Caenorhabditis elegans: one gene and its partner. The protein of the gene in region 2 interacts with the protein of the main gene of each other region in a pairwise test. Each region holds a gene or a part of one and is shown on either strand. Other genes may lie near its edges.

What was found.
Region 1: the proteins of pag-3 (region 2) and sup-35 interact in a two-hybrid assay, tested with the Caenorhabditis elegans proteins (one large-scale study listed by BioGRID).

Annotation. Positions count from the first base shown.
Region 1 is NC_003281.10:11,114,445-11,122,463, forward strand, and holds sup-35 (Regulator of microtubule dynamics protein 1), read right to left. Parts: upstream 4,783-8,019; 5' UTR 4,756-4,782; coding exon 4,697-4,755; intron 4,653-4,696; coding exon 4,503-4,652; intron 4,460-4,502; coding exon 4,342-4,459; intron 4,041-4,341; exon of another isoform or gene 3,917-4,040; intron 3,514-3,916; coding exon 3,445-3,513; intron 3,394-3,444; coding exon 2,791-3,393; 3' UTR 1,779-2,790; coding exon of another isoform or gene 1,707-1,778; 3' UTR 1,310-1,706; downstream 1-1,309. Other genes in the region: Y48A6C.4 (Pre-rRNA-processing protein Ipi1 N-terminal domain-containing protein), read left to right, coding at 5,359-5,464, 5,510-5,628, 5,676-5,929, 5,974-6,142, 6,848-6,955, 7,006-7,126.
Region 2 is NC_003284.9:14,949,220-14,957,774, forward strand, and holds pag-3 (Zinc finger protein GFI1 homolog pag-3), read right to left. Parts: upstream 5,430-8,555; 5' UTR 5,303-5,429; coding exon 5,221-5,302; intron 5,175-5,220; coding exon 5,064-5,174; intron 5,019-5,063; coding exon 4,884-5,018; intron 4,834-4,883; coding exon 4,736-4,833; intron 4,687-4,735; coding exon 4,619-4,686; intron 4,561-4,618; coding exon 4,439-4,560; intron 2,842-4,438; exon of another isoform or gene 2,692-2,841; intron 2,600-2,691; coding exon 2,508-2,599; intron 2,458-2,507; coding exon 2,361-2,457; intron 2,238-2,360; coding exon 2,132-2,237; intron 2,081-2,131; coding exon 1,981-2,080; 3' UTR 1,533-1,980; downstream 1-1,532. UniProt on the Caenorhabditis elegans protein: Transcription factor. Plays a role in the determination of neuroblast cell fate and neuronal differentiation.

The DNA.
Region 1 (8,019 bases), on a different chromosome or scaffold from region 2:
TCAATGAAAATCGGTAAAAATTGGAATTGTTAAATAAAAAAATATATAATTTGAAAATTTGAAAAAAAAGACCCGCTAAAATCGTGGCGAGAGCCAATTTAAAGGTTTATTTTTCAAAATTATTGAAAAATAGAGAACAAATATTTTGAGTTTTCCAGAAAAAAACAGCGAAAAAAAAGGAGTCAAGACTTGGGTGGTTTTTTTTTTTTGAAAAATCATGCACAATTTTCAGTACTCGACTGATAGCACATATACACACATAGGAGAGAAGAACATCTAACCCAGGGGTGCGCGGCAATCGAAAATTTCCGGCAATCGGCAATTTCGACAATTGCCGGTTTTCAAAATTTTCGGCAATCGGCAATTTCGGCAATTGCCGAAATTGCCGACAATTCGATTGCCGTACGGCAATTGCCGCGCACCCCTGATCTAACCCCCTTGGCGATGCGAAAATAGCAGTACTGTAATTATAGCCACCGGTCTTTTTTTTGGAATTTTTTTTTTGGTTTCGCGAACGGAAATTCGTAAAAAAAAAGGTAAAATGAAAAAGTAACCAGTGAAAGTGATTGGGAGGATGCACGGGGTTCTGGCTCGACCCCTCGGTGTATTTTGTGCAAACACCGTCACGCGCAAATGCATACACTTTTTCAACGCGCTGCGTGAAAATTCCTCTTGCGAGATCAAATATTTTTTCCCGCCATTTTCCAAAATTTTCGAGAGGGGGGTCGAGCCAGAACCCCGTGAGGATGATATATATATTGATAAGGGAGACCGGTGGAACGTGAGAATTTTGAATTCCCGCGCTGGACTACGGTAGAAAGGTGAAATTGGAATTTTTTGATAGACTCTGGAATTTTCGGTTAAAACACGGAATTCTGGCTTCCCTCATGAATCGAAATGGCAGAGTTTGCCGAATTAGGCCATTTTGGGTCGGAGAGATTTTGTGTAGATTTACGGCGCGTTTTAGTTGTAAAACTACAGTTTGTTGTCCGTGTGGAGTACACGAAAAAAATTGTTTTTGTTTTTTTTGTTGATTTGTATAAAATTTTTTGATACATTTTTTTGTAATAAATAATTGAAAAAATACAATAATAAATTATTATACATTCCCACAATTATGCAAGCTTATTTTAAAGACGCATACACTGTTGGGTCTCGTCACGAATTGCGTGATTTTGGACGCTTCTAGGATCCAAAAGACGTAGATCGTGGCGAGACCTAAAGGTAATTGCCATGACATTTTTTCGACGTATGTATAATAAAATTATTATTATCATAAAATGATAAAAAGTTTCTTCAAAGCAAAAAAATAAATTATTACACATTCTCAAAAATATACTCTCCTATTTTAAAGGCGCATACACTTCTGGGTCCCGCCACGATTCACATAATTTTGGGTTCTTTTAGGATCCAAAAGACGCAGATCGTGGCGAGACCCATCGGAAAAATATGAGTTTTTTTTTTCGATTGGTAATTTTTTGCAATTTTTGCAAAAAACATGCACCTTTCATCAGCTGGCATTTTTTGGCGAATGTATAATAACACTTTTTTGTCCTGCCACGATCCACGTAATTTTTAGTGATTTTAAGCTTCAAAAAGTCGAAATCGTGGTGAGACCCAAAGTACAAAAAATGTGTGCGCCTTTAAACTGAGATGAAATTTTTCGACGAATGTATAATAATTTTTTTCCAAATTTTTCACAGCACCTTATTACAAGATGGCCCAATTGGCCATAGTCCTTCGGCTCGACATTCTTGAAGAATTTGTAAAAACCCCATTGGTTTTTTTGGCCTGAAAATCTATTAAATTTTGGGACCGAGGCGTGTGAACAAGATAGGAAATAGAGGTGAAAACCTGAGAAATTATCGATTTTTTTGTATAGCCGTTAAATATAGAATAAAAATGTTGAAAAATTGGTTGAAGCGGAAATGTTTGGGGCAATTTATAAGGGGAAAAGGGATTTTTAAATTTCTAAATTTTGGAATTTTTCACTAGAAAAGAACCGTTAACTGAGAAAAATTCTAAAAATTAGCTTAAACTCGGCGGAATTTCAATTTTTTCGAAAAAAACTTGATTATGAAAATTCCAAAAACTTTCCAAAAATTCGAAATTTTGAGCCAGCTTCTTCTAGAAATTTTCTCAAGGAAGTTTCAACAGAAAAATCAATTTTTTGAGAAGAATATGAATTTTGAGCTCAATTTCACTCAATTTTCAGGGATTTTCTGAAAGTAAAAATTTTCAATTATTTGAGAAAAATAGAATTTCCGGATCAACTACACTATAAATTCTAGGAATTCAGGAAAAAAATAAATTCCAAAAAACCGAAATTTTGAGCCAACTTCTTCAGAAAATTAGCTTAAAATTCGTGGAAATTTAAAAATAAAAATTAACAGATTTTGGGCTCCAAAATACCAAATTTCTGGCTCAATTTCCCTCAATTTTCACGGATTTTCTAAAAATAAAAATTCTTTAAAAAATACCAAAAAAAAATTTTTGAGCCAGTTTTTTCAAAAAATTAGCTAAAAATCAGAAAAATTCCAAAAATTTTAATTTTTTCGAGAAATCTGGCCATTTTTTTTTCTATTTTTCAGTAAATGTTTTGGAATTTCCTATAGAAAATCGGGGAAAAATTTAAAAATCCAAATTTTTAAAAAAAGAAGTTGGGCTCCAAGAATCCCCTGAAAATGGGAATTTTGGGCCGATTTTTACGGAATTTTTACAATAAAAAAACGGAGGAAAGTGCAAACGGAAAAATGAGACACAGAAAATAAAATGGAAATAAAAGAAGGATCAAATTGAGCACAAGTCAAGGGCGTCGGCGAGCAACTCTTTCTCGATATCGTTCGACGGGTCCATTTTGAGTGCGAGCTGAAACATTCCAATGGCGGCTTCTTTGTTTTCATTGTAAAGAAGCGCTTTGCCCAGGTGTACAATATTATCGATCCAATACGGTATGAGATCGAAAGCGGATCTGAACTGATAAATGGCATCGTCGATAGCGTCATATGGGGTGGCATAATGATGAATTAACTGTTGTCGGTCAGACTCCCAAATCTCCAGTGCTGAAAGAGCCCAACGGCCAAGAATATTATTGTACATTGCATTTTTTCCTGCCTGGATAGAGATGGCACGATCGAGATATTGTCTGCAGTGTCTCATCTCCAGATTCTTTTCATCGCCTTCAAGATATTCGATTGCCTTTCCTGACATCACAGCGGCCCAATGAGCAGCCAAGATGTTGTACGAATCGGTGTTCCAGGCTTCGGTAGCGTACATCTTTCCTTTGATTATGATGTCCTTTCTCTTTTCCTTCTCAACAAAATTTCCAATTTTTGTACACAATTTTGCCAAACGACAGAGAAGATCGATGGACTTCTCTCCAGAATCGTATCTCTGCAAATTTCGAATTTTATTTCATTGTTTAAATACAAATGAATAGTCTACCATCTTTAAAGCTTCAAAACAGTCGATATAGAAGTCACGAGTAATCATTGGAGAATCAACGACAGCAATCTGAAATCGAATAATTTTTCGTTAAAAAGAGTATCAAAATTTTAAAACTGTCACATCAAATTTGAATTTAGCCAAGCCCGTGAAAAATTCCCTCTCGATTTCGGATGCCAAAAATTGGCTCGAATCGAGAGATATTCGGGAGATGCTGGAATCAAATAAGACCTACTTTCTTTTAGATTTCCGCCGATCACCACAAAAATGAAAAGAGTGGGTAATACATGGCGGCCGACAACCCACGGGTTCCGCGCCTCGCTCTAAATTAAGTCAATTAAGCCACACCCTATCAGTTGGTGTGCTTTTGAAGGGCGTGGCTTAATTTACTTAATTTATAGCGAGGCGCGGAACCCGTGGGTTGTCGGCCGCGATATATTACCCACTCTTTTCATTTTTGTGGTGATCGGCGGAAATCTAAAAGAAAGTAGGTCTTATTTGATTCCAGCATCTCCCGAATATCTCTCGATTCGAGCCAATTTTCGGCATCCGAAATCGAGCGGAGTTTTTCGCGGGCTTGGCTGGATTCAAATTTAAGGTGACAGTTTTAATATTTTACTTTTAATATAATACTTAACTGTATAAAAAACCTGAACTGCCTACTGTAGAACTGGCGTCGATGTATTGGCTTGCTATTTGTAATTTTCTGATCAAATTGTGACAGCGAAATTCAAGTTGTTGTCATTTTTGTGATTTCTTTTAATTTTTATCGAATGATTTCCGTAAGTCGCCGCTAGTGATACAGTAGTCTTTGAAAAAGTTACTGTAGTTTTCGATACAAGATATTTTGCGCAAAACGCATTCTCAGATAAAATAAAATTATCATCTGCTCCTTACCAGCTTTTCCGTGCTCGTGTTTCCCCAATGACGAATAACCGCTCGCATGATCACTGAATTGAATTCTTCAATCACATCACCGGATACTCTCACTGCTGCAATTATGGAATCTACAATTCTGAAATATTATATTTATTTTAGCTCTGAGATAACAACAATACCTAGTATTTCTAATTTTTGGATCATCGAATGTTTGAGCATTTTCGTGAGCTAAAAGAGTATGCTCTTTGGCCTCTTCTGCAGAGCCAAAGCTCTCTTCGCACTCTGAACACATGTGTTCCAGATGATGATCCGCAGTGAGATGATCGTCCCTGAAACAAAAACCGGTGATTATGCAATACAATGTTTGACTTACAGTTTGGAAAGCGAAAAAAGTCCACAATCTCCACGTGGGCACGCAAAAGTGTGAGCCATTTTATGTTCAAAAATAAAAATCTGAAAGTTCAAAAAATTAGGAATATTTCAGAACATTCATGCCATATAAATTACGAGCCTTCAGAATCACTAAATTTTTTAGGAGGACGAATGTGTGAAAGATATATGAAACTATAATACGTGAAAAATATTTATAAGAGTAAAACGTCGTTTAAAAATGAGAAAAAAGAAGATAAAATGCGGTAAAACACCGCGAAATTATTCAAATCACTCGATTCGCGCCTTTTTCCTATGCGCAGTAGAGCGCTTTTGCTTTGGAGACGTTGCTGTATTATGAGATAAATGAGTGTGCAGAAACGGGAACGCAGGATAATTATAAATTATTGTAAGGATCTGATTTGAGCATAGTGGGAAAAATTTTAACAATTTGGTTTTCAATTTATTTTAACTCTGAATAAAAGAAAATATTAAAAATTGGGCGTGATGTTTCTATTTATGGGAATAATTTTCTCTCGAATCAATATCTATGAAACTTGCACTTCACCGAGGCGTGGTCTCTCCTCTCTTTTTTTTTCCTTTGCCATTTTCGCATTTTTCTTGTTATTCTCTCAAGAAACACGCGAAAATTAACATTTTTTGCAGATGGTGACCAAAAAGAAGGCACGGAAAAACGAAGATTTCAAAAAAGTCAAGCTGAAGGTGGGAAAAAAGCTGAAAAAAACGACGACCACCGACACGACTATCAAAGGTGAGTTTTCACCCGATTTTCGCGAATTTTAATTCATTTTTTCAGCAAAACGAGTAGTATTGGCGACTCAGTTGGAGGAAAAAGTGGAAACAGATGATAATCCACTTAGTTTCCGTGGTCTAACGCTCGATGAGCTCTGCAAGCAGATGGGGCACTTTAATGCGGTAATTTTTCGCTGAATATCGATCAAAATTAATAAATTCTCGTTCAGAAAGTGAAAATGAACGCTATTCAAGGACTAAAACAGATTTTAACGTCTCGCCCGGATCTTGTCAACGTCCAGTTGAGGCTTTTGGTTCCCTGCGTGGCTGTGCACGTGGCTGACGCTTCTTTCGAGCCCTCCACACGTCAGAATCTACTGAATCTCTACAAAATTCTGTGTACAGCTTCAATTCAAGCAATGTCGGCTCATATCACACTTTTCCTGTCCCACGTGCTCCGCGCTCTAACGAATATCGTCACAGAGTGAGTGGATTTTTTCTGAAAAATGGGAAATTTTGAATTTTCAGAGTCCGCCACCTCGCACTGAGCACACTTTCGGTGCTTCTCGATCGATATCCGAGCCTTTGCCGGAATCATGCCGATCTCTTCCCCTGTTTTATCAATTATCTGGGCAGTTCGAAGCGTCTGGCGTGGAATAAGCCGGGATTAATCGATACAATTCTCAATTTCATCAATGTTCGTAGTTTTTTGCCTGGAAATTGCGAAAAATTCACTAGAAATTCGAGAAAATCGATTTTAAACTGCATTTTTATGTGTGGTCCTGGAAAACACAAAAAAACCAGAAAAAAATGAAGAAAAATCGATAAAAAATCCGATTTTGCAGCAAGAATCAGAGCAAAATTGCAATTTTGCGCTGAAAAAACTTAAAAAATGGATTAAATTCTGTATCTTTCGGTAAAAATCTTGGAAGTTGACTGAAAATCCGAAAAATAAATTTTTAAACTTGAACTTTCTGTTTAAAACACAAATTTTCGACTGAAAACTAGTGAAAAATTCAAATTTTGTGGTTAAAAAAGCTGAAAACTCAGCGATTTCCCAGAAAATTGATATTTTTCAGTAAAAATCTTAGAAGTTGGCTGAAAATCCGAAAAATACATTTTTTAAATTGCAATTTTCAGTTGAAAACTCCAAAAAATTACTAAAAACCACAAAATTTTGACCGAAACCTGTTAAAAATGGCAATTTTATTGTAAAAAAGCTGAAAATTCACTGGCATCTAGTTTTTTTTCAGAAAAAATACTGAAAATTGACGAAATTTGCAGTTTTTTCAGTGAAAATCTGGAAAAAATGCACGAAATCTCGTAATTATTTCATTTAAAAGCTTGAAAATTCGCTGAAAACTCTAAAAAACTTCGAAAAAATATTTTTTTTTTCTTTCAGATTTACGATATAAATCGAGAACGACACGTGGATCCTTCCACCCTGGAAATCCGATTCGAAAATGAGAAAATCGAGGGAAAAAGTGATTTGAAACGAGTTTTTGTGCAGGTTTTTGCAATTTTTCCACGTAAAAAAGCCTAAAATTCCATAAATTTCAGAATCCCGACGTGAGCCCATTCGAATTTGGAGTTGTGAGCTCATCGAAATCCAATGCAGTTTCACCATTTGAGCTGCCGGATGCTTTGCTCAATTTGGCAAATGTACTGGCGCCAATTATTTGTACGGATTTTGCAGATTTTTAGCTAAAAATCGGGAATTTTGAGTAGAAAACCGATGAAAATCCAGGAAATTTGCTTTAAAATTGCTCCGAAACCGCTAAAATTGATCACAGTTCGTAATTTTCCGTCGAAAATCAGGAATTTTGCTGAAAAATCGGCCATTTTAGCTTAAAAACCCAAGAATTTCTCTCTTAGCTGAAAATCCACTAAATTTGTTTAAAAAAATGTCCAAAAAAATCTGAAAATGGGATTTTGAAAGCATTTAACCGATTTTCAGACTGAAAAATCGAAAATTTTCAATAAAACTTCATAAAAGTGAGCTCAAAATGCTCCAAAAAAGCAGAAAAACTTAAATTTTAGCGAAAAATTACAATTTTCAGCTGTCTTCCAACGTTTCTATGCATTTTTCACAATTTTTGAGGTGAAAATCCAGCAATTTCGCTTGAAAAATATTCCGAAATCGGTAAAATTGATTGGTAACTCCGAATTTTCCGTCGAAAATCAGGAATTTTGATGAAAAATCAGGCATTTTAGCTTAAAAACCCAAGAATTTCCCTACTTTCTCTGTATAATCCAGAAATTTTTGTTTAAAAATGCCCTCAAAATAGCTGAAATTACGATTTTAAGAGCATTTAACTGATTTTTCAGACTGAAAATTCGAAAATGTTCAATTAAAATTTGATAAAAATGAGCTCAAAATGCTCAAAAAAAGAAGAAAAACCGGATTTTTTTTGGAAAAAAATCACAATTTTCAGCTTTTTTCCAAATTTCTATGTAATTAACAATTTTTGAGGTGAAAATCCAGCAATTTCGCTTGAAAAATGTTCCGAAACCGCTAAAATTTATCGGATTTCCGAATTTTCCGACGAAAATTAGGAATTTTGCTGAAAAATC
Region 2 (8,555 bases):
TTTTCAATTTAATTACTGCCATCTTTGCACAGTTTTATAGTTTATTATAGTTTATCAGTGGTTTTTTTAAATCAAAGTGCATTTTTACAATAGTTATTCAAATTTGGTAACATTTGTGAACTTACTACCAAATATACAATTTAAAAAGGTTTTGTAATTTATAAATACCATTAATAAAATTCTCAACATCACTGCAAACATGACTTAAGTTAATATACAAAATTATTTCTCAAATTCCTTCCAGCAAAGAAGTTGTGTCTCATTTCACAAACCCCGAAAGACAACTCCTCGTAGCATCTTTCGGTCTTTCTTCTCGGCGGGTTTTGCTCATTTCCAAACTAATTACTTGCACTGCATCAGTTGGAAAATCCCTCAACACCCATATTCCGGTGGCTTTTGGTAGGTGCTTTGTGATTAGGTTATGCTATTTGTAAGTCACACGAAATGACCTAATTTCGCTGGCTTTTTCTTTTCCTGTCCTTTTAATCTTCTTTTTCAACCATGGCTTTCCGAGGCTTCGTAACCGCATTGTGGCTTTATTGGGAATGAGAATTTTTGAAATTGTTGCTACGAGTTTCGGAGAACATCAGTACATCAGTACATCAATGAGTAGCAGAATGAAACAGGAACCCAAAAACCAACTCAAATAAAATATTATTTGAAAATTTGAAAAAAATGTACCAAGAGGTACCCTGAAAGTTGGGAATGTGTGGCCAATGTGATACGTCTTTGAATTTATTTTAAAATTCAGTTGCAGCTTCTTAACGAACTTTTTTCGAATTTTTACCATTTTTTTACAGCGGCTATTAATTGACATTTAATCAGTCATTCTTCATTGAACAAATTTTTTGGCATTAATTTTGCGTTGTTTCTCAGTTAAAGAAGGACTAACAGTTCGGACGATTTGAAATGTATAGACCCAAAACAAGCTTAAATGAACGATATTCGTGATTAAGCTTCTCAAAAAAAAATTTCGAAAAATTTTTATGGCGGTTCAAAATTTCGACAAAATTGCACTGATTTTAGCTGGAATCTCGAAATTTTTCCCACTTTTCTGTGTCGCATCAGTCCGATGTTGACTTTTTGCATATTCTGGTAGTTTATATTGTTCAATATCTCCAAATAAGGTACATTTAAAGCCGATAGCTTACAAATTTCAATGATTTTTGAAAAAAAAATGGGTGCAAAAATTTTGTGACTGTTTCACACATCAACCGAAAAATTATCTCCTAGCATGAAAGAGCATGATGAACCAGACAAATCTCGTCAGACCCATAATAGTCCAAAATTACCAAATATTTAAAAACTAATTATATAAGTTCCAAAGTTTTGGTAAACTGCCAAACTTTTGAACTGAAAGTACCATAAAGCTGCATTCAAATTTTTTCTACTTGCTATATTAATTTTTTTTAATTGAAAAATTTTGCTCTACAAATGTACTGAATTTTTTAAAAACCGTGTTTACTTGCAATTTTAAAGTTATCGGGTCTGACTTGAGTGCGTGTTAATAAAATTTGATAAACGAGTTTCAATATTAAACATTGTTTATTAATAAGGCTAGGCTACTCACCGAAAGCATTTCAAAAATGACAGAAAAAAACAACTGTTAATTGAAAAAAGGGAAATTTGAATAAAGCAAAAAAGCAAATACATCATATGTGCGTGTAACATCGCAATACCATAAAATTATGGAAAAGGAACTGAAAAAGAACAGATATGTATAAAACGTCTGACCATTAGCGATATAAACAATAATCAGTACATAATGTATGTGTTTTGAAAAAAGGATGACAATTGATGTTGAGGCTTGTTTAAGGATAAGAGATCAATCATCGAGTTTGTGAACTGTGTTAATGAAATTGAGGTAAGGAAAAATGTCAGTAGATAGAAAGGAATTTTTTACTAAATACAAAAAACCAAAGGTAACCAGCACAATTCTCATTGTCCTTATTACCTTTGAATACAAGAATTTCACACAAATTATGACACGCTCAAATTCAGTACTTTCTCCTCTTCATCATCAGCTTCCTCCATTTCCTCGCCCATCTCTGCTTTGATCGCGAGCAGCTCGGCGGGTAATCTAAAAAAAGCACAGTTTTATTTGATTGCACAATTTTGTTTGTGAACATGCCTAAACACGTTGAGAAATTCATCGGAAGAGTCGAGATACCCGTTGCTCGTCGGAGGTGTCATGTATCCTTTCGGGGAGAGATCCGATGAAATTTGAGAAGCAGACACTGCAATTGTTACGGTTGGTTTGATGGAAAAAGGGGGGGAGGGGGGTACTGTAGCATTTCAAAAGGAACAACCAACGAGAAAATGGTGTCCTTGATTGGCTGAAATTTGAGTGAAAAACGAACCGCATTCTTCGGGGTGGCCCGGATGGTGACTCTCGCGGTGCCGACGGCGGTCCACTTTGCGTTGGAACGTCCGACCACATACATCACAGGCAAATGGCTGAAGATAATGACCTCATTTTTAAAGAATAAGGAAAGGAGAACTGTTACCTTAAATCCAGTGTGTTTTCGTGTGTGGGTGATAAGGTTAGAAGACTGACTGAACGCTTTTCCACATACAGTACACTTGTGTGGTTTTTCACCTGAAAATAAAGTATGGGAAGTTTTAGATTAGACATTTTATTTTGTGTAATAAATTTTGGGCACGGGTGGCTAAGTGGTAGTGGTGTAGCACTGTCGCCCAAGAGGTCGCAAGTTCAATCCCACCACACCCCAAAAGCTCACCCAGCCGGCGTGGAAAGTGGGTAGTGAATTTGGTTCACGAAAGGTAAATCGGAGCATACTGCTAGTCCCGGTACGGCCTTAATTCAGACTAGAAGAGATATAAACGCAACCAGTAACCCTGATAAATCTCTGGGCCGCAGGAGGCTTCGGCTCACCCTTGAACCAAACGGACAACCTTTGTCTTTTTTTTTTAATTTTGTGTAATAAATTTTCAAACTATATTTAGAACTCAGCAGTCAAAATATAATTTTTTTTTGAAACCCTGTTTTAGGGGGAATTTGTATTTTATAAAATAAGTGAATTACTTTTCACTACAAACTTTCAATGCGTCCATGAAAAATATATGTTTTATTTTCAAAGGCAACGTTTAATTTATAGCAATTGTCTCAAATTGAACCTTAAAAAAATACAAATTTTGTTATTATTCTGTTGCACAGCAAAACCCCGTCTAGAGATGGAATCCCAAAGTTTTCATTGCTTCTTTTTCTTGTCAACTTCTGTAGATTGCTTTGCTTGTCAGCATACAAGATTTAATTTGTTTTTAATTTTCAAACGTCATTCAAAGAATCTTTTCTCTCCGCGCTTATCCAATACCCTACCCCTACCCCCCCCCCCCTACTTCCAACCTTTGACATCTCCCCTCAGAATTTTAATTTGAAGCAATTTTGCAATGTTCAAGCTGTGTTGAGCTCAGCGATGCTCCTCGCTGTGGTTTACTGCCTCTCGGGGAGTCTGTTAGTTGAGGATGGGGGGGAGGGGGATAGCAAAAACGCGATTTAATATTCAATTTTGATTTGTGTTGCGGAACGGTAGGGAGGAGGGGCACTGACATGACTCGACTCTTTCATACTGATTCATCAATCATACTTAGAGATGAGCAGGGCGCGCAGAAAAGAAGAGGAGGCTCATGTGCACACGCATCTGACAACTTTTCGATTCATAATAAACCAGAATAACGATTTCTCTTCTTTCAGAGTTGAATTTTCAATGAATCGTGTTAAGCGAAAATAAACGATGATTGCTTAAAACGAGTTGAAATTGTAATTGAAAAAGATATGGTGGTTCGCTTCAAAGACAAAATTTGAGTTAATTGAACTTATGAACTAGGGCTTTGAATCTTCTATAAAAAGCATGAAACCTTGCTGGAAACACTTATCAATATTTTTTAAGATAAACTGTCACATAAAGAAATAAGTGATGCCAAACTAGTAGGGAAAAATGGTAACTCAAAAAAAATTAAAAGAAAAGTCATAAAACCTTTTTTATTATTTTCTAAAAACTGGCTACATTGAATATTTATTCAAAAGCTTAAACGAACATATACATATAAAAAATAGGTTTGTCAGAAAATCCCACGTTTTTGAAGTACTCATGTATCATATTGCAAGCAAAATTTATATCGATTTTACGCCGTAGTGTCTCCTGCATCACAGCTAGTTTTATAATTTCAACATCCTAATGCGAGACCATGTCATAGAGGATTTTGTGTTTTTGAGCACAATGTACAATATAGGCAATTTAGTGGTTTGGGTGCAAAATACATACGTTCAGCGTGTTTGTAATTATTAAATTTTGTATTTCATTGGGAATAATTAATTTTAACCTAACTTTATGAGCAGAATTGCGTTATTATTTGCTGTTATAAATATTATCTTTATCGATAAATCTAGGATATCCTATCAATTTTACCAACATACCTGTATGAATATATGTGTGTTTTTTCATGTCCGACTTCTGATGAAATCTTTTTCCACAGTATTCACATGGATACGGCCTTGTGTCGGAGTGAATCAGAAGGTGTGTAGATAAGGTGGAAGATCTGAAATTGAAATTTACTTTTTTTTAAATTATGTTTTCATGATAATTAAAGTGCATACCTTTTGAAGGTTTTTCCACACTGCTTGCACTCAAATTGCTTATCGCTGACGTGTACTTGTTGGTGTTGCTGAAAAGTTTTAAATTTTTGAAAATTATTTTAAAAATACTGGTTTCACCTCTAGAGCAGCTATGGTAGAAAATAATTTTGTGCATTTTTGGCAATGAAACGGTTTGATTTCCACTGGAGGTGTCGGTGTTCGATTCCAAACTGAAGCTTAAAATACATATTAATGTGAATAGATAAATGTTCAAAAAGCTTGATACCTGATGGTGATTCAGGGTTCTGAGGGATGATACCCATTGCCATACTCCTCAGGTATTGCTGCCAGAACATGGGAGCGTTGAGAAATCCGAATGGAAAATTTCCAAGAATATTTACAGGAGGAGGACGGGGCATTGCTGAAATGAAACTTGATAGTTGGAAACTCGGAGGTTCTAGCATACTTTGCTGCATCATGAGGAGCTTTTGTTGTAGTGATATGGTAGCGGCCATTCTCTGCCAAGAACTCATCACATCTTCTGTGATCATGAACTCATTTCTATCTTCAATTGATTCTGAAAATGTCGTTATTTTTGAATTAAAATAGATTTATGCACAAACCTGTTGGTGAAACACTAGACTTTTCCACGTTCGAGAGTAACGATTCAACAGAATAGACATTTGACACGTGCTCAGTGCTCATCTTCGTCTCAACACACAAAAAATGAATAAGGGAGTAGGACGAGGACGAATCTCTGGAAACGCGTGCCTTGAATAAAAATTTTTGAAATCTTGAAATTCGAATTTGGCACCCTGTTCGCTGAGCCACTGAAAAAAAAGAAACGAAAATCTTTGTGATTTCTAGAGAATTGGATTAAATGAGACAAGAACAGCGGATGGGAAAACAAGAAGATGAAGACGTCAAATCAAGGGTCCATAGGGATTTCTGAGGATTTAGAAAAAGACGAAATCAAGGCCAATTAGGAACTTTGGAATGGATTAAAGATTTGAAACTGGAAAGTTAGCAGGAAGTGAAAACGAGTTGAATCTTTCTTTTTTTTTTCAAAGCCATTGTCATTTGTGCTCGGCGTAGTGTGAAAATAAGCATATAAATAATAAATATGAACATCAAACTGCATCACATCCCTATAAGCAGAGGGTAAATGGGGGGATGGCTTTGGATGTCCGAGCTGTGACGATTTGAAACTCGAGCTGGTCTACATTCAAAAACCCAACTGTGGAAGAATCTGAATGCATCTCAGCACTGATCCGTCCTCCTCCTCTTCATTTCGACCATGTTGCCCTGCCTCCTATTTTTCCCCTCAGATGCATGTTATTGGATCGCCCCGCCCCAGCAGGCAAAGTGTGCGGCGAGCTCTCGGTTAGCATATTTGTAGACGAGTCGAAAAAAGGGGAAGAGAAGCGTTGGAAAAAGAGCAGAAAGAATCCTTGAGGTCAGGTTTTATGCTCAATCTATTATGCTTGTTTTAATAATCTCATACGATTTACGATGTAGTTCAAGCATGAACTCAAAGTGACATAATCGGAGGCGCGCTGGTGAGTGTGAGCAACACTTTGCTCTTCTTGTCCAGCAAAGGGCATGTAAGGGACATTAATGGAATTTTTAAGAGCGTGAAGCGCAAGAATCTCACTGCCAGAATGCGAAAGTAGGAAATCTGCAAAAAAGAGGAAACGTCGAAAAACTGTTTCATCGAAAATTCATAGAGCTAAAAATCCCACGATTTCTTAGTACAAGGAACTCGAGCTTCAAGAAATAGAGAGCTTTTAGTTGGAAATAATAGAAGTTGATAACTTGAAGCAGGTCGTACAATGTGAAAATTTTACAGTATTTTCACAGTAGTTTAAATATCTCAGAAACTTCTGCAAAACTTGCAGAATTCTAACAAGATCAGTTGTAAATAAATTCACTTTCTGGAGTTGGATTTGGCAGTGCCTGTCAAAAATCTAGTGTCTGCTGCTAATTCGTATTCATTCCCCGTACCGTAATTAGTATTCATGTGCACTATGCGAGCTTGCGCACTCTTCAACATGTGGGAAGACAATCCATTGGAATTTCAATTTCTCGAATCGCATTTCAATCTTTTGGGTTGGCTTCAAAATGGTATACCCATTTCCGAGCTCTTTTCTCCACACTCAACCTTCCATCGCTCCTCCGGTGCTATGCATTTTTAAACGACTTCCCACAGTGATGGCGGGGGGTTCCAGGGATGGAGGAAGAGGGGGGGGGGGGGAAGAGCGAGAAGATTGAAATAAATTGAGTGTCATCCTAATGCATGAATTTGAGTTGGGTGGGCTCACTGTGTGATGGAAACGACGTGTCGAACAACACCCAGCCAAAATAGCGATATGGGTGTTGAATTGAATGCATACGGTCTTTTGATTTATGGAATTGTTTTTCGTGTTGGGTTAATTAGAAAAGAAGAAGTCCGTGAAAAATGGAAAAAAGTCTAAGAAATAGTTAGGTTTATGAGCATTTGGGGAGCTATCTTAGGTCAAGTTTTGGATGTTTTACAAAAATGTTAACATTTTTAAAACTAAATCCATATAGAGCTAGCCCATACATTCAATGTTTGTGGTCCACTGTTTGTTGGTTTTATAAATGCTCATTTTGTATTTCTAATGATCAAGTGTACACGAATATTTCCTCCGGTTGAAAATGCTCCTTAATAAGTCGAAAATGCAGTAGGTGCCGATTTTGGCATCCCCCTCCCCCCCCCCCCCCCCCACACACGTATATTCCCAAGCGGCTTCCCGTCTGCAATCGGTATGCATGACGAGAGGTGATTGGATTCGGAATCGCGTTTTGGGACGCGCACACACACGGGCGTAGATATTTGTCAAGAAATTTGTTTTGGCTTCTATTTGAGACGTGTGAATTTTCAGAATTGGTAATAGCCTTCTTCTTCTTCTCACCCACCAACCACACTCACCCAGGGTTTTGGATGACACTGATCCGAAATTCAGTGTACCTGAGAAAACTGGGAAACTATCAAATATCATAAATGTGCTGTGAGAAAAATTGGGATTCTAGAATACGAAACTTCAAAACGAAAGGAAGCATGAGGGAACAGAAACCGCGCCAAATTTGGAAATGCCCACTAATAAAACAAAAGTCAATTGTTTGCTCATTACTTTGATTGCGCGCTAAGCTAAGCACCTTGCGGCCAGGTTGAGTATGTAATATGAATCCTGAACGCTGAAAACTCTCAATTCCCTCCCATTCTGCCTACTTCATCTCCACTTTTGATTCTATTGGCTCAAAGCAATGAAAATGAAAAATATGGAGAAGATGAAGCCGGCTGACCAACCATCTCACCACTTTTATGATTTTTCAATTCAGAAATTTATCTATCCCCGGCTCTCCATATTACGCTGACTAGTAGCAAAAAGTGGCCTTCTTTTGCCTTCTCGCATGGAATATCTACCGTAGTCCCCCGGTACATATGGCGGCAGCTCCAGAGACTCAGAGAGGCGTAATTGGGAGGAAAAGCTATGCAGGAGAGGAAGAGTGAGCATCCTATCGTCAACCATTTTATGACGCAATCTAGCTGCCTGGATAGGATAACAGAGCAATTGTCCGGTTGGAGCAGTGCTCGGACGTTATCGGTTAGGTGTGTCTTACTCGTTTCAGGGATTCAACGGAAATTGCAGAAAGTTTTTTTTTGCAAATCAGTAATTAAATAAAACCTGCTCGGTAAGCTCCTAAAATTAAAGTTGAGAACTTAATCTGAAAAGAGTAATTTTTTTTTTGGTTTGCCTTTTCAAAAGTTTCAAAAATTTGTAATTTTAAAATCATTAAACATGTATCAATTTGATAACTTACGCATAACTTTTAAACTATAAAGTTTACCATAATTTTATGCATTCAAAAAAAAACACTATTATCGCAATGTTTAGCCCGCCGTGGTTTCTTATTCACACTATGTTTGCGCTAC